3 linked regions of the Arabidopsis thaliana genome follow. The protein of the gene in region 1 purifies or fractionates together with the protein of each later gene. This does not show direct contact. Each region holds a gene or a part of one and is shown in the gene's direction. Other genes may lie near its edges.

Evidence for each region.
Region 2: the proteins of AT3G05060 (region 1) and FKBP53 fractionate together in Arabidopsis thaliana (co-fractionation; one large-scale study listed by BioGRID). This does not show direct contact.
Region 3: the proteins of AT3G05060 (region 1) and AT5G52490 fractionate together in Arabidopsis thaliana (co-fractionation; one large-scale study listed by BioGRID). This does not show direct contact.

Annotation. Positions count from the first base shown.
Region 1 is NC_003074.8:1,411,528-1,419,390, reverse strand, and holds AT3G05060 (NOP56-like pre RNA processing ribonucleoprotein), read left to right. Parts: upstream 1-3,334; 5' UTR 3,335-3,507; intron 3,508-3,802; 5' UTR 3,803-3,826; coding exon 3,827-3,907; intron 3,908-3,995; coding exon 3,996-4,037; intron 4,038-4,130; coding exon 4,131-4,310; intron 4,311-4,390; coding exon 4,391-4,555; intron 4,556-4,761; coding exon 4,762-4,962; intron 4,963-5,055; coding exon 5,056-5,553; intron 5,554-5,659; coding exon 5,660-5,794; intron 5,795-5,917; coding exon 5,918-6,217; 3' UTR 6,218-6,524; downstream 6,525-7,863. Other genes in the region: LRS1 (Transducin/WD40 repeat-like superfamily protein), read left to right, coding at 1-119, 263-356, 435-617, 720-818; AT3G05080 (uncharacterized protein), read right to left, coding at 1,246-1,353; AT3G05070 (Cwf18 pre-mRNA splicing factor), read right to left, coding at 1,858-1,916, 2,123-2,237, 2,354-2,486, 2,784-2,911. UniProt on the Arabidopsis thaliana protein: Required for 60S ribosomal subunit biogenesis.
Region 2 is NC_003075.7:12,957,038-12,965,524, reverse strand, and holds FKBP53 (FK506 BINDING PROTEIN 53), read left to right. Parts: upstream 1-2,753; 5' UTR 2,754-2,892; coding exon 2,893-2,905; intron 2,906-2,989; coding exon 2,990-3,063; intron 3,064-3,186; coding exon 3,187-3,434; intron 3,435-3,541; coding exon 3,542-3,684; intron 3,685-3,954; coding exon 3,955-4,258; intron 4,259-4,353; coding exon 4,354-4,521; intron 4,522-4,722; coding exon 4,723-4,945; intron 4,946-5,317; coding exon 5,318-5,405; intron 5,406-5,511; coding exon 5,512-5,553; intron 5,554-5,630; coding exon of another isoform or gene 5,631-5,646; coding exon 5,647-5,695; intron 5,696-5,786; coding exon 5,787-5,868; 3' UTR 5,869-6,176; downstream 6,177-8,487. Other genes in the region: SHB1 (EXS (ERD1/XPR1/SYG1) family protein), read left to right, coding at 79-150, 221-350, 441-561, 646-904, 996-1,100, 1,180-1,224, 1,305-1,736, 1,827-1,963 and 1 more; AT4G25330 (SAWADEE protein), read right to left, coding at 6,842-6,918, 7,000-7,216, 7,296-7,691. UniProt on the Arabidopsis thaliana protein: PPIases accelerate the folding of proteins. It catalyzes the cis-trans isomerization of proline imidic peptide bonds in oligopeptides. Histone chaperone possibly involved in H3/H4 deposition to the nucleosome.
Region 3 is NC_003076.8:21,296,520-21,302,550, forward strand, and holds AT5G52490 (Fibrillarin family protein), read left to right. Parts: upstream 1-2,337; coding exon 2,338-2,356; intron 2,357-2,592; coding exon 2,593-2,966; intron 2,967-3,048; coding exon 3,049-3,126; intron 3,127-3,218; coding exon 3,219-3,464; intron 3,465-3,558; coding exon 3,559-3,720; downstream 3,721-6,031. Other genes in the region: AT5G52480 (RNI-like superfamily protein), read right to left, coding at 399-975, 1,095-1,243; AT5G52500 (uncharacterized protein), read left to right, coding at 5,056-6,031. UniProt on the Arabidopsis thaliana protein: S-adenosyl-L-methionine-dependent methyltransferase that has the ability to methylate both RNAs and proteins. Involved in pre-rRNA processing.

The DNA of each region.
Region 1 (7,863 bases):
GGAGGACCATGGAGGAAGAAGATAACCGAGTTTACTGGAACTGAAGATGAGAAGGACTTCCCATTGTGGTGCTTGGACGCTGTCTTGAACAATCGGCTTCCACCTAGAGAAAATACAAAGTATTCGGCAGTACCTTGTTCTCTAAAAAAAAAAATAGTTTGGACTTTTAGCAATTTCATCACATATGTTTTTACATTTTTTTATAAATAGATAAAACTTCTTTCATAAAATGTCTGACTTTGAAAGCTCTTCAAATTTACAGATTAAGCTTCTTCCTGCATCCATGTGAAGGTTCATCGGTGCAGGTGGTTACACTAGGGAAACTTAGTGCACCCCGGATCTTAAGAGTTCACAAGGTGCATTTATCTGTAATTTTAAGTTGTAGTTTTGCTTGCACTCTCTGTTATTCAATGGCTTCTTAAATGTCTATGTAGGTTACCAATTACGTTGTGGAAAAGATGGTCCTTGACAATCCGTTGGATAGTCTAGCTATTGATGCAGCAAGTGTTTCAGGAGGACAACCTCAGCCACTGTTTTCAGGAAATGGATTGTTACAGTCTGGATTAAAGCCTTGGCAGAAACTTAGACCTTCCATTGAGATCTTATGTAATAGCCAGGCAAGTCAGACTTCAAGAGATCCAACTATTGCCCTGTTTCTGGTTTCAATTAACTGTTTGCAGTATGAGGCTGAACGAGCTGTTTCTCTGTGATTATTTCAGGTCTTATCTCCAGATATGAGTTTAGCAACTGTACGGGCATATGTATGGAAGAAACCTGAGGATCTGATTCTCAACTACAGAGTGGCTATAGCTAGATAACTTTTGAGGTAAAATATTAGAAAAAGGTGAAAACTTGTGGTAATGCATTATGTTGGTGTGTTGTCAAGATAAAATTTATTGAGCGGCTCCATCTACTTGACAGTTTTTACTTGGGAAGGTGATTTCATATTAGGTATTTTCATCAGAAAGAAAAATAGAGATACTTGAGTTGGTAGATTTTTCATGTGAGCTTTTTCACAACTCCTGATACCAAAGCCTTTGTAGATTGCTCTTTTTGGTTTGAAACAAATGATAGGAACAATAATGTTATGTTGATCGAAGCCTTGAAATTGAATATCACCATATTCATTTATTGCTCTACAGATTGGGATCTGTCTGCTGGTGCATTTAATCACATGGAAGTCTATAGCTTTTCATTGCTTGTTCCTTCGAAAAGCATATATCTTGGTTTACCTTGGCCTAGTGTTTACTTAGCTTCTCTTCTTTGGAGCTTGGATTCATGAGAAGTGGGCACCAATAAAGGTCCAAGATATTTAGGTGAGATGGTGTCGAAAGCTTTACTGAATTTGTACATTAGGTTTGAGCTTTGGAAAACAAAAAAACTTAGTATCTATTTTTGATTGTTCGGTATTAATAAACAAATATTGTATCTAAACTCCATCATCCCACTGTGGAAGCAACATGCCGAGAAGAAAGGTCTTAGAAGCTCTCTGTGTTGTTTTCCCAGACTCCAAACTAAACCCGTCTAGCCCGAATCAAAACTTTGGTTTCTAGTTTGGGATGTCTTTATCAAACCACAGTAAATCGAATCAAACCAAAAAACGCAGTTCCATTAATGATCAAACTAGATTACCACCGATGTTGAACCAAATTTAGAGAAAAACCGGACCGCACTTAATTCTACTCGGAAATAAATTGCGACTTTCTTTGATTCACACAAGAAGATAAACCTACTATGTCTATGCCAATGGCTGTAGGATTTTACATGGTCTACTCACTTCGAATGCTTTAACAGTTAAACAAAATCGAGTAGAATATACTGTTCAGTGGTGGCTTTCTTTGATGACGTCGTTGGGTTTCAACTTTCTATGGTGTTACCATCAGCTTCAGCCATCTCACGTTCTTTCTCTTGCTCCTCTGCAATTAGATGATGAAAGTGCATGTGTTAGTTCCATAATAAACAAACACCAACAGATCACTCTATTTTGGACTTCTATGATTTGGTATCATACTACCAACAGATTCAGTGAAATGTTACTCACTTACTCACGAACCACAGACTAATGTCTTAATTATCAAGCTTACATAGAAGATATCAGTATGTAGATACAGTTGCCACTTACCCATGAGTTTATGCATTGCCTTTTGAGTCCGCCTTTCGAGCTTATCAAGCTTCTTCTGCACATCTCTTCGGAGGTCCCAGTTTGGCTTCTTTGGAGCGATGTTAACAAATGGGTCCTACAATGATAACATTTTTTGTAAGCTTAAGAGGCACAAGTAAAGGAAACAACAATGCTAAACAGAGTCGCTTTTGGTGATCCTTGTACAGAGAAAAGAAAAACTGTCACACACACCTCTTTCTTCTCTACAGCAGGTGGAAGTGCAACGATCGGATCTTCGAATTTGGGTAGCTCTGGTGGCGCTAGTTTACCATCCTGAAGCTCCTTAGCTTGGGGAACATAGTTTCTAAACTTCATGGCTGGACCACTGTAAAATCAAAGACAATTCATATGAATAAAAAGGGAATCTACCTCGAATAATCAATCAACAAAACCAACCACCTAAGCAAAGTATACACAACAATGCAACTTGAAATTGGAAAAAATTGTTAGGTAACAGATGCTGCAAGAGCACCATTATTGATTCTCTCACAAACAGTGATAGTAAAGGCGAGAAGCAAAGCACAAGAGAAGCTCCTAGTTATGCTAAAGCCAACACACAACATTAACAACTCCATGTGCTAGTCAAGACAAACAAAATAAGCAAAGAACAAAGCAAACTCACTCTTCTTCGACAGCTTCATCCTCTCCGTCTTCCTTGGTCTCAGACAGTTCCTGAGCTGCCCTTAGAGCTTTAAGTGCCTCTTTACGAGCAGCAGCTTTTTGTTCAATCGATTCATCTTCACTAGCCATTATAACTTCCTGCAAAATTAGGTTATCGACGTAAACATCGAACACTAGCCCAGCTTCTTCAAACACTAATCACACAACTACAGAGTATAACCCTAAACAACACGCAAAATCGTGATTTTCAGGATCCACGGAACTAATCAGATGAAGTTTTAGCAAAATCAGAGCTATACTATGAAATAAAGTTGAAGAGAAGTATGGAAAACGCTATCTACCCAGAAAATCAACGAGAAAATTTGAAACCGTACCTTGAAGCTTCGAGCTCTATAAATTCGAGACAAATTTGTTGAATACCACAGAGAAACAAAGGGATTAAAAAAGAAAAACTATTAAGGGGGAAGAGAACAATAAAACGCCCACGTATTAATATTATAAACGGGCCAGATTAAAATATCCATTCAGTCAGGCCCATTAATCTTAAAACCTAAACCCTAACTATGGAAGTTATAGAAATACCCCTTACAATACGCGGCGTTTTAAGAAGGCTCGGCTCGTCTTTAACTGCTATAACAACACACTCTTAAAACCCTAAGTGATTGTCCGTCTCCGTCTTCATCTTCTTCCTCTCTCTCACGCAGCTGCTTTGATTAACTCTTCAGGTATTTAATATCTCTCATCTTCTCTCTTCACGGTGTTTCACTTTTCCATTCTTGCTGGAGATTGTGGAGTTTCGAATACTCATACTCGGACAGAGTTTTAAGGCTATTGTAGTTTATCTCTCTGTTTTTTCTTCTCCTGTATTTCTTATGTGATCTAAAAGTAGGATTAGGGTTTATATGGAATGCTGTTTCTCGCTAGTTTTTAATCTCAAAACGAACTTTTAGTTTAATTAGTGTGACTCGGACACGTATCTTTACTGTTCTGAGTTAAGTGTTGTCTTAATTTTCTCTTCAGGTCCAGCTTAAGAGTTTTGTGAAGATGGTCTTAGTGCTATACGAGACAGCGGCGGGGTTTGCCCTCTTTAAAGTTAAAGATGAAGGAAAGATGGCTAACGTCGAGGTGAGTTCTCTTCATTCTTTTGTACTCTCTTTGCTTATCCTTAAGGCTCTAAAAGTATTCATGGATTATTTTTTATTTTTTTTTGCAGGATTTGTGTAAAGAGTTCGACACTCCAGACTCAGCACGAAAGGTAATTTTTTTGCTTCTTCATCAAGTGTGGTTTCAGAACATCTAAAATTAGATTTAGTGTTGAGTTTCTCATATGTTTTTATTGGTGTACCAGATGGTTAAGCTAAAAGCTTTTGAGAAGTTTGACAATACATCTGAAGCTCTCGAAGCTGTGGCTAAATTGCTGGAGGGAGCTCCAAGCAAAGGTCTGCGCAAGTTTTTGAAAGCTAATTGTCAAGGTGAAACCTTGGCTGTGGCTGATTCAAAGCTTGGGAATGTTATCAAGGAGAAACTGGTTTGTAATTCCCATCATTACACCCATATTCCTGTCTGCTCTGTGTTTTGTTTCTAATGAAAGTTCTTAATTTCATACAGAAAATTGATTGCATTCACAACAATGCTGTTATGGAGCTTCTACGTGGTGTTAGAAGTCAGTTTACTGAACTCATATCTGGGTTGGGTGATCAAGACTTGGCTCCTATGAGCTTGGGTCTGTCTCACAGTCTCGCCAGATATAAGCTAAAGTTTAGTTCTGACAAGGTATCTTCGGTTCCTGACTAATTGTATTGGTCTTTTTATTTGGTGATATGATATGTGAAGTATATGAATTTGTTAATTGATCGAAGCTAACTTGTGTTAAATTATGGAACTTCTGTATTGAACTAGCCTTTGATTGTCCGACATTAAACGTTTCCTGTGTTTGTTTTTGCTTCTCTTGCATCTCCTAACTGTTTAGTTTTTGTCAGGTGGATACCATGATTATCCAAGCTATTGGTCTGCTTGATGATCTTGACAAAGAGCTGAACACATACGCCATGAGGGTTAGAGAATGGTATGGATGGCATTTTCCCGAGCTTGCTAAGATCATATCAGACAATATCCTATATGCCAAATCTGTTAAATTGATGGGAAACCGAGTTAATGCTGCTAAGCTAGACTTCTCCGAGGTAACTTTCAATTTTGTAAACTGTGTAGAGGCTTCCATGAACAAACGCCTTGATTAACGACCTAATATTCTCCTGTTTCTGGTTTCATTGTAGATCTTAGCAGATGAAATTGAGGCAGATCTTAAGGACGCAGCTGTGATATCCATGGGAACAGAAGTCAGTGACTTAGACTTGTTGCACATCCGTGAACTCTGTGACCAGGTTCTCTCTCTTTCTGAGTACAGAGCTCAGCTTTACGATTACCTAAAGAGCAGAATGAACACTATTGCTCCCAATCTGACTGCCCTGGTAGGAGAGCTTGTTGGTGCTCGTCTTATTTCCCATGGAGGTAGTTTATTGAACCTCTCCAAGCAACCTGGGAGCACGGTTCAGATACTCGGAGCCGAAAAAGCTCTCTTTAGAGCTCTTAAGACAAAACACGCCACACCCAAGTACGGTTTGATTTTTCACGCATCTCTGGTTGGTCAAGCAGCACCAAAGCACAAGGGAAAGATCTCGCGGTCTTTAGCTGCTAAAACTGTTCTTGCTATTAGGGTTGATGCTCTTGGTGATAGCCAAGATAACACTATGGGCCTTGAAAACCGAGCTAAGGTAACAAAATTCTTCAATAGCTTTCCTCTTGTTGGTATCTCTCTGAACAATCTTTTTTCCTCCTTCTTAACTGATGATGTTTCTGATATGTGTTAAAAACTCACAGCTTGAAGCGCGGTTGAGAAATCTTGAAGGAAAAGATTTAGGTCGTCTGTCTGGTTCATCTAAAGGCAAACCTAAGATTGAAGTCTATAACAAGGATAAAAAGATGGGATCAGGCGGTCTTATCACTCCTGCTAAGGTCACGATCATTCTCTCTGTTTTTGATTCATCATCTTTTCTTCTAATTTTGGATGTGTGTACATATTGTCTTTGTTCTTGGGATTATGATGAAGTGATCTTGACTGTTTTTTGTTATGTGCAGACTTACAACACTGCTGCAGATTCTCTTCTTGGGGAAACCTCAGCTAAATCTGAGGAGCCATCAAAGAAGAAAGATAAGAAAAAGAAGAAGAAGGTAGAAGAAGAGAAACCCGAAGAGGAAGAGCCATCAGAGAAAAAGAAGAAGAAGAAAGCTGAAGCAGAAACTGAAGCCGTAGTAGAGGTTGCAAAGGAGGAGAAGAAGAAGAATAAGAAGAAGAGAAAGCATGAGGAAGAAGAAACAACGGAGACACCAGCCAAGAAGAAGGATAAGAAAGAGAAGAAAAAGAAGAGTAAGGACTGAGGGAGAGAAACCGATTTTGAGAAATCTCTTGAGTGTAAGATTAATAACTGTTTTTGTTGAATTGCATTTTATCTAGAGGAATAGGTGTTTTAAGATGAAACTTAAATTTTCTGAAATCGTCATTTTGAATGATGGATTCATATTTAAATCCTTTTCACCCGAACTTTATTTTTGTTCTAGCCTTCCAGACTCTAGATTATTAATTTTGGAACTCTTTTTTCAATTTATAGTTTGTAGTTGTACAATATTCTTCTTGCATGATTTATATATATCTGGAAGAGGAAAGAATTGAAGAAAAATAATATATTCTGAAAAAATCAAATAGTTTTTTGCTACTAAACGTGTCTGTAGATTCACCAAATAAAATACTCTTTGATTTTGTTTTGATTTTAAAGATTTTTTACAGGCGTTAGTATCTTTTTCATGATCGTATTTCTCTTTGTTGACTATGCATGTTTATCTTTGGTTATTGTCTGGCAAGATTTTAATCAAATTAATGAGGTCAATAAAATTAGTATATCGTCTACAAGAATACATAGTAGTTAGCAATAATGCTGGGAATGAATGAATAAATAGATAATATATGTAGCTTTAAGTCATAAAAGAAATAAAATGGCTAATTCTAAAGGACAGACGTAAATCATTAGTTCCTTAAGCTTTTGTTCCTTGTTTGGTTTACAATAGAGTCTTGATAAAGGAGCTTCTTTGATTGGATAGATGAAGTAAACTCTCATTACATACCATATTTCTTATTTTATTTGTTTTTCCAATTCCTATTTTAATATTAAAAAAAACTCTTAGTGTTTATTTTAATAATAAATTCCAAAATTAGGTGGGTACATACCAAATATTCTTTACATATGCTAAGTAATATATTGTTTTTGACCAACAAAATTATAGATCAGTTTTAATATTCTAATGTCATTGAGAAAACCACTTCTTTAACACCATTGGACCTCTTACACATTAAAATCTCCCCCAAACTTTATAGACTTATAGTACTCCACAAATTTTTAAAATTGAAAATTGTGATAGAGAAAAGAGAGAAGAAATGAGTACAAAATGGTGCTCAGAGGTTTTTAAGTTGGTGGGGGCTGAAGAAGAGTAGTAACTTTGAGCCTTTTTGACCGTATTGGTGTTGCGTCCAAAAACAATTACTTACACATAATAATAATAATAACAAAGAGCCAACAGATCTTCGTCTGTTTCTATTTATTCCTTTTTCTTGTCTGATTCGCAGAAAACTAAAGAGAGTTCTTTTTCAAGTAAAATTCGAAGAGCAGTTCAACGAATCCTTCTTCTCCTTGAGACATTTTTACCCAAGTTGGTCTCTTTCTTCCTTCTTAAACAATAGTAGAGTTATTATTGGTCTACGACTCTGTTGTATATGTGTATGTATCACCTTGCCTTTTCTCCAAAGCCCTAATTGATTTTTCTTTCTTCTTTTTTTGTGTATGCTTTAAAGGTTTCATTTTTAAAATCTTCTTGGACTCCATTTCTTTTCCTTTTCCTTTATCTTTTTGCCTCTCTTTGTGGAGTTTTTGAAATCATCCCTCATTTCATTCCTATTTTCGTTGTCTCTTTGAGTTTGAGTCAGCTTTGTGTTGTGTCTAAATTCTAAACAAGTTTCAGATCTTTACCTTCCT
Region 2 (8,487 bases), on another chromosome or scaffold:
GTACTTAATTTCTGTTGATAATTTTGACAAGCTTTTACAGCATTTACTCTAGTTTAATATATATGCTCTACTCTTTAGATAGCCAAAAGAAATGCTGCGAAACTGTATATGGAGATGGTCGATAAATCTTTCCTCAGTAGCTCCGAAGAAGTAAGTATCCTTCTTCTATCTAGGAAAATCGAAACATGAAACTTTAGTTTGAAGCTTTAAACATGTGCAGGTTCATAAGTTGTTGCTAAAGGTTGAATCTATTTTCATTGAACATTTCTCCAATTCAAATCGGAGGGAAGGGATGAGCCATTTAAGACCAAAAATAAATAAAGAACGTCATCTTATAACGTTTTCCACCGGTATATATATCAACACTACAATAACCAATCTTTTGACATGTATTTTCAAGAGTAATTCATCATTTTGTTCTGTTTTTTGTTTTGTTTTAGGCTTCTTTTTCGGCTGTGGTATTTCTCTCATTGTAGCTCTGGGTTTGATCATCCATGCTCGTAATATCATGGGTACACCGGGACAAAGAACTTATATGGAAACAATGTTCCCTCTTTACAGGTCAGTAAAACGACCAAATATAAACCAAACACACTATCTCTGTCTCTGTGTAATATTCTTGAGATATATACATTTCATTTGCAGGTTTTTTGGGTTTGTAGTTTTGCACATGGACGTGTACGCTGCTAATATCTACTTCTGGAGGCGATACCGTGTGAATTACTCCTTCATCTTTGGATTCAAACAAGGCACTGAACTTGGTTATAGACATGTTCTACTTCTCAGCTTTGGTCTTGGTACACTTTCTTTATGTGCTGTCTTATTAAACCTTGACATGGAAATGGATGCTCAAACAAAAGATTACAGATTAGTCACCGAACTTATCCCCCTCTTTCTTCTCGTAGTAAGTTCCTTCTATCTCTCTCTATTTCTCAGTACATTTTACACAACTCAATCTTTGTTTTTAGTAAGACTCGTTTCTCTGCATATTGCAGTTAGTGATTATCATTGTTCTCTGCCCCTTTAACATTTTGTATCGGTCAAGCCGATTCTTCTTCCTCTCGGTTCTGTTCCGCTGCATTGCTGCACCATTTTACGCGGTACCAACAACATATCCTCCTCTCCATTCATCTGAAGCATAAACAGAAATGTTAAGAAGAATGTCTTCCATTTTTGCAGGTGCATCTTCCGGACTTTTTCTTGGGAGATCAACTAACAAGCCAGGTTCGAGAAAATCTATACTCGATAAGATAGCTTCATACTTATTTTGATCGATGATTTCTGATTTAAACAATCAATGCTAGGTTCAAGCACTGAGGAGTCTAGAGTTCTACATATGCTACTATGGTTTTGGAGATTTCAGATATAGACGACGAAACACCTGCACATCAAATATTGGATTCAGAACATTCTACTTCATCGTCGCCGTTATACCTTACTGGTTACGGTTTCTTCAGTGCATCCGAAGAATGGTGGAAGACAGAGATCTGAGTCATGGCTACAATGGCATCAAATACCTTTTGACCATCGTTGCTGCTTCTCTTAGAACAGCTTATACTCTAAACCGAGGAAGCAACTGGAATATCACAGCTTGGGTTTTCTCAGGAGTTGCAACGTTTTACGGAACTTACTGGGACATTGTTCTTGACTGGGGATTGCTTCAAAGAGGATGTAAGAATAGTTTCTTGAGAGACAAGCTTCTTGTTCCTCACAAAACCGTGTACTACGCTGCAATGGTGAGAGCAAACAGAAAACAGCAATAACCTCTGTTTTTGTTTTTTCTTTATACATATATGGTGAAGATTGTTGCTTCATGTACTTGGCAGGTCCTGAATGTTTTGTTGAGGTTAGTGTGGTTGCAAACAGTTTTGGATCTGAAATTCTCTTTCTTGCATAGAGAAACTATGGTCGCGCTTATGGCTTGCCTTGAGATCATACGCAGAGGTATCTGGAACTTCTTTAGGTAAGCTCCGAGACTGAGAAGATGGTGTTTTCATGCATGAATCTACACAAAACTAATGAAATGTAATTGTTGATTAGGCTGGAGAATGAGCATTTGAACAACGTTGGGAGATACAGGGCGTTCAAAACTGTCCCGTTACCGTTCAACTACGAAGAAGATGGAGATCATCATAACAATTAGCTTAACAAGAAAATACTTGGTTTCACAAAATTACCTAAACAACAACTAAACTTTTCACCGCTGTTCCGGTATACAACTGTAACGATCGAGCTTTGCCTCTCCGCTGTATTCTTCAGAGAGCCAACTCGAGGCTGGCTCACTCTCAGGGTCAGACCTAAGCGATGGTAGAATTATGGAGAAATCAAGTGGAAATCTCTTCGTTCCTTGGTAACAAGAGATACAAACACTTAACTAACTTGGTTACATACAACAAAAAGACATTACTTTGTACACTTACTTCAGATTTTGACAAGAAAGATAGAAACTCACGTCATTGTACAGTGTGTTTAGGTCTCAATATTGTATTGTTTTGTTGAAAGATAGGTCTCATATTGTTTTATTTAAAACAAAATTTCTGAATTTGCGTTTACATGAGAGAAAATTATAGATTTTTTTTTCAAATTAACTCTAGTAAAATAATGAACACAAATTAAATGTTATCAAATATGAAGAGTATCTTGACAATACCATTTACTTTACGATTTATGACAGACCAATATATGGGCTTCATTGGGGCTTCATTGGGGCTTCATTGAATTTCAAAGTCTGTTAAGGCCCAAACTGAGAGCGCGGTTGCACAAATTGTCGAAATTTCTCGAAACCGCTTTAATCTCGATATAAAGCTCGTCTGCTAAAAACCTTCGATTAGGGTTTTAGTCTGTAGAAACAAAGTTGCCGCTTCGATTCCAAGGAGTAACCTAGCTGAGAAAATGGGATTCTGGGGTTAGTTTTCTCTGCTCAGTGTTTTCTTTGATTTTCCCGGAGCATGATTCCTAGGTTCTGATTTTGTGTTGTTAACATATGCAGGACTTGAAGTGAAACCTGGGAAGCCTCAAGCTTATAATCCAAAAAATGAACAAGGAAAGATTCACGTGACCCAGGTACTATACTCTTGTTCCTTCGAGCTGATTTGGGATATGAATTGTATATTTGTGTAGTCTAGTTTTGGAATCTGAATATGTTTGATATATCTATTGATGTATGTATGTTTTGCCATCATTCAGGCAACTCTAGGTACGGGTTTGAGCAAAGAAAAGAGTGTGATTCAGTGTTCAATAGGAGACAAGGCTCCTATTGCTTTGTGTTCATTGTTGCCAAACAAAATCGAATGTTGCCCTCTGAATCTTGAGTTTGACGATGATGATGAGCCAGTGGAATTCACCGTGACTGGTGACAGAAGTATCCACTTGTCTGGATTCTTGGAGTATTATCAGGACGATGAAGATGATTATGAGCATGATGAAGATGATTCGTATCCTTTCATTGTTACTAGTTTACTTTAGCAAATAATGCTTTCTTGTTTTTCTATTATTCCATCTGTTTAGAAATCTTAATGTTTTCATTGCGACTATATTATAGAGATGGTATTGATGTTGGTGAGTCTGAGGAAGACGATTCGTGTGAATATGATAGTGAAGAGGATGAGCAATTGGATGAATTTGAAGACTTCCTTGATAGCAATCTTGAAAGGTATCGGAATGCTGCTGCCCCAAAGAGTGGAGGTACTTTTTCTTACAGAGATCCTTATCAGATTGCATCTTAGTACTTCCATTTTAGCTTAGTGTGATTGCTTGATTCGTCACTCTTGTCTTATAACTAGAAGGTTTCAAAAAGATATTGATAAAAGACTTTTCAAATGTATGTCCGTAAATTTAAGCTTTTGTACAAGTGTGTCTCCTTGGTGCTGATCCTGTTCTACATTTGTGTTAATAGTTTATATGATTGATCTTTCCTTGTTCTGTTAAAACTAATCTGAATGATATCTTTGCTAGTTATAATTGAGGAGATAGAAGATGAAGAGAAACCTGCCAAAGATAATAAGGCAAAACAAACCAAGAAGAAGAGTCAAGCTAGCGAAGGTGAGAATGCAAAGAAACAAATCGTTGCCATAGAGGGTGCCCATGTTCCAGTTTTGGAAAGCGAAGATGAAGACGAAGACGGTTTACCTATTCCTAAAGGAAAATCATCTGAAGTAGAGAATGCGTCAGGTGAGAAGATGGTTGTAGATAATGACGAACAAGGTAGTAACAAGAAACGGAAGGCCAAGGCTGCTGAGCAAGATGATGGACAAGAAAGGTACTACTCTCTTTGCTCTCTATTGACTCTGAGGACAGAGTTCACATATTTTATATATCGTGGGGATACGAAGTTGTTTCTAAAATCTGTTCCAGTGCAAACAAGAGTAAAAAGAAGAAAAATCAGAAAGAGAAGAAGAAAGGGGAAAATGTCTTAAATGAGGAAGCTGGACAAGTTCAGACGGGAAATGTTCTGAAGAAGCAGGATATTAGCCAAATTTCTTCAAACACAAAAGCTCAAGATGGAACTGCAAACAATGCCATGTGAGAACTCTTATTTCTTGATTTGAGAACTTTTTTGGTGATAACAGATTGTGTTTATGTCATTTGTGAAATATCAGTAAGTAAGTATTTGAATTATTACTCACATAGATCACAAAGTAAAAAACGCTTATGAGTATACAGCGGTTCTTTCAAACTTTTTCTCCTAACAAAAGTCTGTGCTTTTTTATGGTATTATTGCAGGAGTGAAAGCTCCAAGACCCCAGATAAATCTGCTGAGAAGAAAACTAAAAATAAGAAAAAGAAGAAACCAAGTGACGAAGCTGCAGAAATTTCTGGTACTGTTGAGAAGCAAACCCCAGCGGACTCCAAGTCTTCTCAAGTACGGACATACCCAAATGGGCTCATTGTTGAAGAGTTGAGCATGGGAAAACCCAACGGCAAGAGAGCTGATCCTGGAAAAACGGTATGCACACTTAAAGTCATAAATTGCACACATAATATCATATGGTTACTGCAATCTCATATAGATTATGCAACAAGGTGGTAGTGTGATAAGAATGTGGGTGTTGAAAGAATTGACACTAGATAGAAAGTGAGCAAAGTAATACCTTGTTAGACTTAGACCTAAGAGCACCAAAGAATATACATTAAATAGGAAGTGAACAAACTAATGGCTTGTAAAACCTACAAACACTCAAACCCTTAAGTTGTGGTTAACTCTGGCTAATTGTCTTTGTGAACTTGGTTTGAATCCAAAATCCTATTAGAGTGCATCAATGTATTTGTGTGTTTTCCCAAATCTTTTTGGAGCTCATTCTATTGTCTCTGAGTGCAGGTTTCTGTGCGCTATATTGGAAAACTTCAGAAGAATGGGAAGATTTTCGATTCCAACATTGGAAAATCACCATTTAAGTTTCGTCTAGGTTGGTATTATAACTAGATTCAAAGATAATAGCTTGGGAAATTGGTTGAGAATTACAGTGTATTGCTGGTGTAAGTGATACTTTATGTTCTTATTGTAACGTGTAGGTATTGGATCAGTCATTAAGGGATGGGATGTTGGAGTTAATGGTATATATCTTAATTTCTTACTGTTTTTTTACTTATAACTTTGTTCAAAAAGTGAATCGTGTTGTATTCATCTCAAGTTTTTGAATTCCACAGGCATGCGCGTTGGTGACAAAAGGAAGCTTACAATTCCTCCATCAATGGGGTAAGTAAACTCATTTTGATTTATGTTATTTTGAATTAGCAATGTTTTGTTAAACCTTTTTAATGGGATGATAATATTGTTTGGCTCCCAGGTATGGTGTGAAGGGTGCTGGTGGCCAGATTCCTCCTAATTCTTGGCTGACTTTTGATGTCGAACTGATTAATGTTCAATAAAACTGCCCTGAATTCATAGAATCTCTGATGAGGGGTTTCTGAATGGTGTTGTAGCTGCAAAAGATTGTTTCTTTCCTTTTTAACACTTGAATCTTTTTGAAAAATGGATTTGTGTTTCAAGTGATAAGACCATAGCATTTGTTTCCCAGATTTCCTCTTCCAGATAGCTTTTGTTGGCCTATTTTACACTTGCTTAAAAACCAAAAATTGGAATCATACAAATGCTGTTTACATAGTAGATGGACTTGAACCCAAAAAGGGGCCAATCAACTTTAAGCCAGATTTTATAGCAACGACAACCCCGACTCGTGAATCCGTTCAATTGAATAATGTAAATAATACCCCTTTTTTTTGGTGTAAATAAAGTGATTATAGTTTCTTCTTCATTAGTTAGTATTCAATGATTCATTTGTGGAAAGTCTCTCTCACTAGTCTCTAATCAAGGTCTCTCTACTCTCAGGTACAGTTACGTCACCATCATCACCGTGACGAATTTGTCATTTTTGTACCGTCAGAAAGACTTTGACCTATTTCTTGTTCTGCAAGTTCTTTTTTACTGTTATTTCTGACCTTTTGACCCGTTTTTATTTTTTTATTTTTGTAACATTGATGATCCACCATACGTCACCATTATTCTCCGTCGCAATGGCAATCTCTACGGCGGGCCTCTGGTTTCTGATATCTTAATGTTTTTAGAATTGGAATTTCTCATTTTTGATGTTCGGCTCCTAAGTATTTGATGGACTATGATTGTGAACTTTAGAGTTTGCAAATGTAATTATCAATTATGCCTCTGTTTACAAAACCTTATGTGATGTTCATCAACACAATTAAATCAAGCATATATATTTCAGACCAAGGACTTCAACAACAAGAAAAAAAAAAACAAGGAGTGATAGGCATGAACTAAGAGACTTCCCCAAACTAGAGTATTCAGTTTTTTTTTTGCAACACACTAAGCAACATAACATAATCATCCATCAACGCTTAAGTTGTTTTGAATAGCAGAATTCACCTTCTCAAGAATCTTTTGCCACTCTGTCTCTTCCCCTGTTTCACACATATACACTAATCCGTTACATAGTAAGTTTTTAATCATAAGACAAAAGAAAGATAAGTGTAATAAATTACCTTGATTACATGTTTCTCCATGAAGCTTCCTTCTAGCTTCTTTCAAGAACGAAACCACTTTTGGATTTATTCGATTATCCTTTGCTCTGAGACAAATATCTCCAACTTTCGCAGTAGTCACTTGGTTAATCCAAGGACCTTGTTTCCAGAAAAGTTTGAAATCACATCCACAAATTTCGTTCCCTTCCTCGTCTCGTTCATGCTTCGTCCTCTCCACCTATATACACAAAAACCGTATTACTCAAACCGGAGTTGAGATTTCAAACACTAAACCGGGATTAATTTCTAGAACTCACCGTAACGACGATAGCGTCGTAGAACTTGACTTCTTCGGTGACGGAAGGAAACGTGGCGCAGACCTGGGTGCCTTCATGGACCTTGGGACATTCGATGTCTTGCATCTGCTCGGAACAAGCTCGAAACCTCTCTTCGAATTCTTGAATCTCGTCGGAGTTTTTGAAATCGTCAGCTGGATAAAACTCGTCGTGCTCATAAGAGAAGCCGTTGAAGCTGATCCACAAAGCGTCACAGATGTCAGAAAATTCTACGGCGTACCAAGCTTCGTCCTCCGCTGAACGGAACTCTAGTTCCGGCCAGTTTTCATCGGACCAGTCGACGTCATCGGCGAACTCGCCGGAGAAAACCGTCGGACTAGTAGCCCCACTCTGATTAGAAGTTAGAGAGTTGTGCATCTTCTTTGGGTTTTGTTTAGAAGTGATAACGATTGAAGTGTAGTGAAGAAGCCATGCAAGCTCTCTTTATAGACCAAAAACTCTCTGTAAAAGTAATTTTCTCTGTTAGCTCTACCAGTCAAAACATACAAAAATTACAGTTTTGGCCCTTTTCTAATTAGATCATATTGATATTTTCATTAATTGAAACTTTAACTGGCGTATTAACTATACTTTTAGTATAACATACTGAAATGTGGAAGGAATTTGAAAAGTCATTTCACATTTTCTGTATAAATAAAAAAAGGTGAAAACTTCTCTTACTATATAAACTTTGATATTGAAAGTTACTAACCAAATAAAATGTTCAATGAGATTAACCATATTTACAAGTATAACATATTAACATATGGAAAGAATTTGAAAAGTCAATTTTCATATTATAAGAAAAAAAAAAACTTATCTTATCATATAAAATTTAGTTTTTAAAGTTACTAAACCACATGATTGTTAGACGTGTCAACAAAAATAATTATACATTTGGTATAATATATTTAATTGTGGGAAGAATTTAAAAAGTCTCATATTCTAGAGAAGTAAGAGGCTGAAAACTTAACTTACTATATAAATATTGGTTTTCAAAGTTGTTAGCTCGAGACGTGTTAAATAAAATATTATATTTTTGAAAGGTTAACATATACTAAAATTATCATATGTTTTCAAAGTATATTTTTTTCCAACAATTACCATATAGATCTATGCTACTAAAATCATAAAAATGAAATATTTTTGATAGATTTTAAGTTGAAAAAAAAGA
Region 3 (6,031 bases), on another chromosome or scaffold:
GACAGTAGTGCCTGTGTATTAAGACTTATTTACTGGGTTTTGTTTTTATCTCCTTGCTTGTTGTATTAAGCTAGAGATGGATAATGCTTTTATGTCTCATTTGGAAAATTTTATCCTCGTTTTAGAACTAATATATATTGATGCAACATTTTCGTCCAATGATTGTATCTCCATCAGTCTTTTCTATGCTTGTTTTTGCTTGGCTATAAGAACTACTGTCCATTTTAATCCTACTTGTTTCTGCATGCTGAATTGATTGTTGAAGTAGTTTGTTTTGAACATGATTATGCTCAAGAAAAGGCGTAAAAGTATCACTTAGCTCTGAAAGGAACTCATTTTTTTTTGGTTAATAAAATTTTAAACACAAACAAACCGACTAAGTGTTATTGACATAAGTCTCAATACAGTTTCAAGTAATATTCGGCTTCTTCCACTATTGGATCAAAGTTATAGGCGCCTTCTTCCATCGGTAGCGCATTTTTAAGTATTGCCAATTGGCGTGACCAATGAAAATAGTAAGTTTCAAAAGAAAACGGGTAATCAGCAGAGGTAGAATCATTGTGGCGTCTCAAATCTTTAATTTTCTCAAAACAACGCTTCTCTAGATTCCCGACAAGGTTGATACATTGGCGTAAATCGAGGTGTTCCAGGTGAGGACAACCGTCAAGAATGGCGTTTAAGCCTGTTTTGGTTAGTTTGTTCCCACAAAGCTGGAGATGGCGTAGTTTAGGCATGCTTTCTGCAATTGCTATGGCATCATGATCATCATCATCCGAACTTAAGTAAAAGAGGCGGTTTAGCATCAATGTCTTCAGATTTGGACAAGACAGCCCTGCAAGTTTCATAGACTCTCCTGACAATGATATTCCTGAAACCTCAAGCTCTTCAAGCATTGGAAGTTTCACAACTGCTTGAACAAATCCATCGTCTGTTATTTCTGAGCACATTAGTCTAAGGCTTCTAAGATTACTTGACCTACAAGTAATGGTGTGTAAAAAGTTATAAATCATAATCTTGAGATATCTGTTTTTAACAGACACTTGAAGACTTACATGAAAAGTAATCAAAAGTCAAAACTAGAATTAGAGGAGAACCTCTCCGCGATGTATGTAAGGAGAGAATCACTCCCGAAGTCCCCAATGTTGATCTCCAGCAAGCCACCCTCGCTACGATCAACGGCGTTACGACATATCGCCTCAGGATTGTTCACCAGTACTGGTTTGTTGTAACTCAAGATTCGCATGTCGATTTTACGCCATATGGATGGGTCTTTACAAACATATCGTCACGATCTACACACTTTCTGAGCGTTCTCCAGTATCTCAGTCACGCTAAGACGTAGCAGAATCAAACACATCAAATCCGTCGGAAGATCCGCCCAGTTTTTTGGCTCTTCGTTTTTCATCAGTGAAGACAGCGGATCCATTTCTGATGAGGATCAAAATGTCAAATCTGTGAAATATATATATCAGAAAGTCATTTAGTTTTAGGCCTTCTTTGATTATTTGTAGATTCTAAGTAGTTTTTGGTTTTAGTTTTAGGCCTTGAATGGTAGTAGATTCTAAAATGGTTTCTAGTTTGCATAAAAAAGTTTCCTGAAAAGCTAAGAAATCTAAATTTTTAATTTTTTATTAATTAATGAAAAGCAAAAAAAAAAAATCTATTTATGCAAACTAGACACCATTTTAGAATTTACAATCATTCAAGGCCTTAATTGTTTATTAACTAATGAAAAAAAAATCAATTTTATGAGTTTTTTGTCCAACTTCGTGTGATTTTTTTTCCTCTTCTTGTTTTGTTTAAACTAATGATTGTTTTGGACTTTAAAGTCAGAAGGCATCTCTGATTACTTGATCTGCAATATAAAGTTATAACAATAAGATGCAAAATTTTACAATCTAGTCCTTATGGCACTAAGTTTACGAAAACAATTCATGTCTAATAAGCCCATTACCTGAATTAATTATTGGGCCTTAAGCTCCTAATATTCTGACCTTTTGTATTTCAAAATCATGTATTCCTTGCATAACAAGAAATCTGATGGTGGTGATTCGATAAAAAGAGTTCGATAGGATCTGAAATCTTCCTACAAGAAGTAAACTGTTTAACAGAATTTGTTAAATGTAATAAATAAAAACTTTTCCATATTTATCGGAAAAATAAATGGAACCTTTCCAGCTTTCCTATACCAACTCCAAATTCCAATAGATAAACATTCTTAAACCCTAGCAGGGGCTCGATAAAAACTAAAAAATAAAAAAACCAAACACGAAAGCTGCAAACATCGATTAACATCAACCTTCTCTTTGTTGCTTTCGCTCTCGCTCTATAGCAAAGATGAAACCTCCCCAAAGAGGTTAGAACCCTAGCAGCCGTTTTGTTTTACTACTTGTTTAATTTCTCTGTTCGACCTATAGTATAGGGTTGAGGGTTGTTAACTCCAAATTCGTTTTGTCACAATATATCTACCTGAATTGCTTGTTACGTAAACTGTTTTGAGTCTTCACTTCTTCAATCCAAGTTTAATAGGAGATTTAATAATACTCTCTTCTGATTAGTTAATTTCGGTTTTATCTGTATGATTATGCTCAGGACGTGGTGGTGGTGTTAGAGGTGGAAGAGGTTTAGCCAGAGGCGGTGAAGGAAGTGCCGTAAGAGGCAGTGGAAGAGGCGGCGAAAGTGGCCGTGGAAGAGGGCCTGGAAGAGTTAAAAGTGAATCGGACGGTGGAATTAAGGGAGGAAGCAAAGTGTTAGTGACACCACACAGGCACGCAGGAGTGTTTGTTGCCAAAAGTAAAGCAGATGCTCTTGTAACCAAGAACTTAGTTCCTGGTGAAATCATTTACAATGAGAAGAGAATCTTTGTTCAGAACGAAGACCGATCTACTGTTGAATACAGAGTTTGGAACCCTCATAGATCTAAGTTAGCTGATGCTATTACCACTGGTGTTGATAACATTTGGATCGTAAGTCCCATAACTTAAAGTAACAATCTCTTTTATTCTTCTGTTACCGAAACTAATGAATACTTGTTTCTTGAAATTGTAGAAACCTGGTGTTAAAGTTCTGTACCTTGGTGCTTCTTCTGGATACACCGTGTCTCATGTCTCTGACATTGTTGGTCCAGTAAGTGAACACTAAACCTTAAACCCTAACTTTTAAGATTGAGTGAGTGTTTTCTCTCTATGTTACTTATATCTAGCTTTTCTGATTGGTAGGAGGGATGTGTTTACGCTGTTGAGCATTCTGATATTTGTGGTAAAGTTTTGATGAACATGGCGGAGAAGAGAACTAATGTTATACCAATCATTGAAGATGCTAGACATCCTGCTAAATATAGAATGCTTGTGGGAATGGTTGATATCATATTCTCTGATGTTAATCACCCTGAGCAAGCTAACATATTAAGTCTCAATGCTTCTTATTTCCTCAAATCTGGAGGGCACTTTATGATCTCTATAAAGGTTTGTAACAAAACTTTTTTGACCATTGATTCAAATCAAAATCATTCTCTTTTTAGTGTGCATTGTTTGGTTAACTCTAAGTTACTTGTTTCAGGCGAATTCTATAGACTCAACAATTGCAGCAGAAACTGTGTATCAGATGGAAGTGGAGAAGTTACAAATGGAAGAGTTGAGACCAACAGAGATATTGCATCTTGACTCTTGTGAGGAAAAGCATGCTTGTGTTTTTGGTGGATATCGCTTGCCTAGGAAGTAAAAAGCTGATACTGCTATCTAATTAGGAAGCTGATACTCTTTACTTAGTTTGTGATTGTTAAAATTCATACACATTCATGAGGCTTTAAAATTATTATTTTTCTCTGATTCTCACTGTGATTTGTCTTCTAACTAGTATGAGTTTTAAGAAGTTGAGTTTTGCAAAAACAAAAGGTAGAATACACATACATTTTGAGTTGAATTCTAGTATTTATATTTTGGTTTGTTTTATCGAACGTGGAACTAACACAACGTTACATTGAAGAATCATTCATTGTGATTTGAGATTTTCAATGTGATTTTAAAAGTTTGTTATCGATAATATGATTTTGTGGAAGTGTAATTTCAAATTTGTAGACAGAAAGTGAAACTCTGCTTGTTCATCAATTTATGTTTCCTTAGACATAATTGATAAATACATTGTTTTGTGTTTATGACAAAGAGAAGACGATAATTAGCTGAAAATAATCACATTATTCAAATATGTTCCAAAGAATAAAATTTTTGCACTATTTGCTATTTTCAGTTCTGCCTTCTAATAGATTAAACTTTCGTAATGAACTTCATCCTTGAAAATTTAAGAGTAAATTTGAAATTGGTCATCAGGTCATGTATTAAAGGGAAAAATAACAAAATAAAAATGTCAGAAGTGGGATTTGAACCCACGCCCTCTTACGAGGACCAGAACTTGAGTCTGGCGCCTTAGACCACTCGGCCACCCTGACTTTTTGTTTGTATAACTACACTAAACTTAATTGACATAGATTAAACGGATACTAATGCAAAATATGAAAATAGGCGCAATATCAATGTCTGCTTGAGCTATATCATATTATCATTGAAAATAGACCAATTGGCTGTAACATTGAAAATAAAAGAAATAAGATGGCTGGACACGTGGAAAACAAATTGCAAAAGAAAATGATTGAAGGAAATGTGTGGATTTTCGTGTGTCGATGGTAAGCTTCTATCAACTTCATTTATAACCTTTTTCTTATATGGGTTAACAATAACACAAGTAACATGTTCACCAATTATTTGTTCTACAAAAAAAAACTAACAATTTGGTAAGTTTAGAAAGAGAACCAGAACTAACCATAATCAATTCTAAAGCTATACCGTTTAAACTGACTAGTCTCTCTTCTCTTTTGATGTCTCATTCTGCAAAATTTTCATTAGGAGAAACATTCAGTTTTTAGACTATTAGTACACATCATATACAATCTATCTACATTTTGTAAAACTCAAATGTGTTAATTAATCAGATCTAACTACATTTGTAAATTATTTATGCTCTTTATACATTTTCAAAATGTAAAGATCCACAACAAGAGGAATGGGTTTGTTCTTAGTCCTATTCCCCGACCACAACAACAACGACTCTTCTTCTTATTATTCTCCGGCAAAAACTACCTTCCGCTCCAAATTATCCTCTCGTCTTCTCCTCTCCAAGGCTGAATCCACAATCTCAAGCTGCATCATCCTCCTCTTCCTCACTCTCTTCCTCTTCACTCTCTCTACATTCGAAGAACCTTCCTCTCGTTTTCCCGCCATTTCTTCTCCTCACTGGCGATTTCTCCTCAACCGCAACATCATCTCTCGTCGTTTCGCTCTACAAGGAATGGGTACTCTGTTTCTAAGAGGAACCAAGAGCATGCACGATTTAATCATTGCTCATATCGCTTCCGTTACAACGGAGAACGATCTCCGTCTCTTTATACGGTTGCTTCACCGCTCCGGAGTTACTTCAAAATCCGACGTCGTTTTACTCTTCAATTCACCTTCATCCACTACAAGATTCACCGAGTTGATCGAACAAGAGAACAACTCGTTCTTAAAGCTCGTTCATGTTCATCGGAATGATTCGATGACATCATCATCATCATCATCTGAGCATGTTATTTGGGGGAAGAAGAGTCGTCATCGAGCTAATTATAACTCGAACGAGCTGACTCATGGCTCGATAGTTGGTTTCGACGTAACTGAGTTGGATCCTGAAAACTCTTTATCCGGGTTTATGGATCAAGTTCCGTTAAGCTTGAGGAGATGGGCTTGTTACCCAATGCTTCTTGGTCGAGTACGACGCAGTTTCAAACACGTTATGCTTGTTGACGCTAAAACTTCATTTTTCATCGGTGACCCGTTTACCCGGATTCGTAACCGGAGCCCCGACTCAGTCCTCTTCTTCTTCTCAAAACACAAGAACGCCTCCGAGGTTAATCCGGAGATTTTGATCGGTGGAGCTAAAGGAATCAGGAGATTGTCGAGCTCCATGCATACTGAGATTGTGAGAGCGACGATGATGAAGAAGA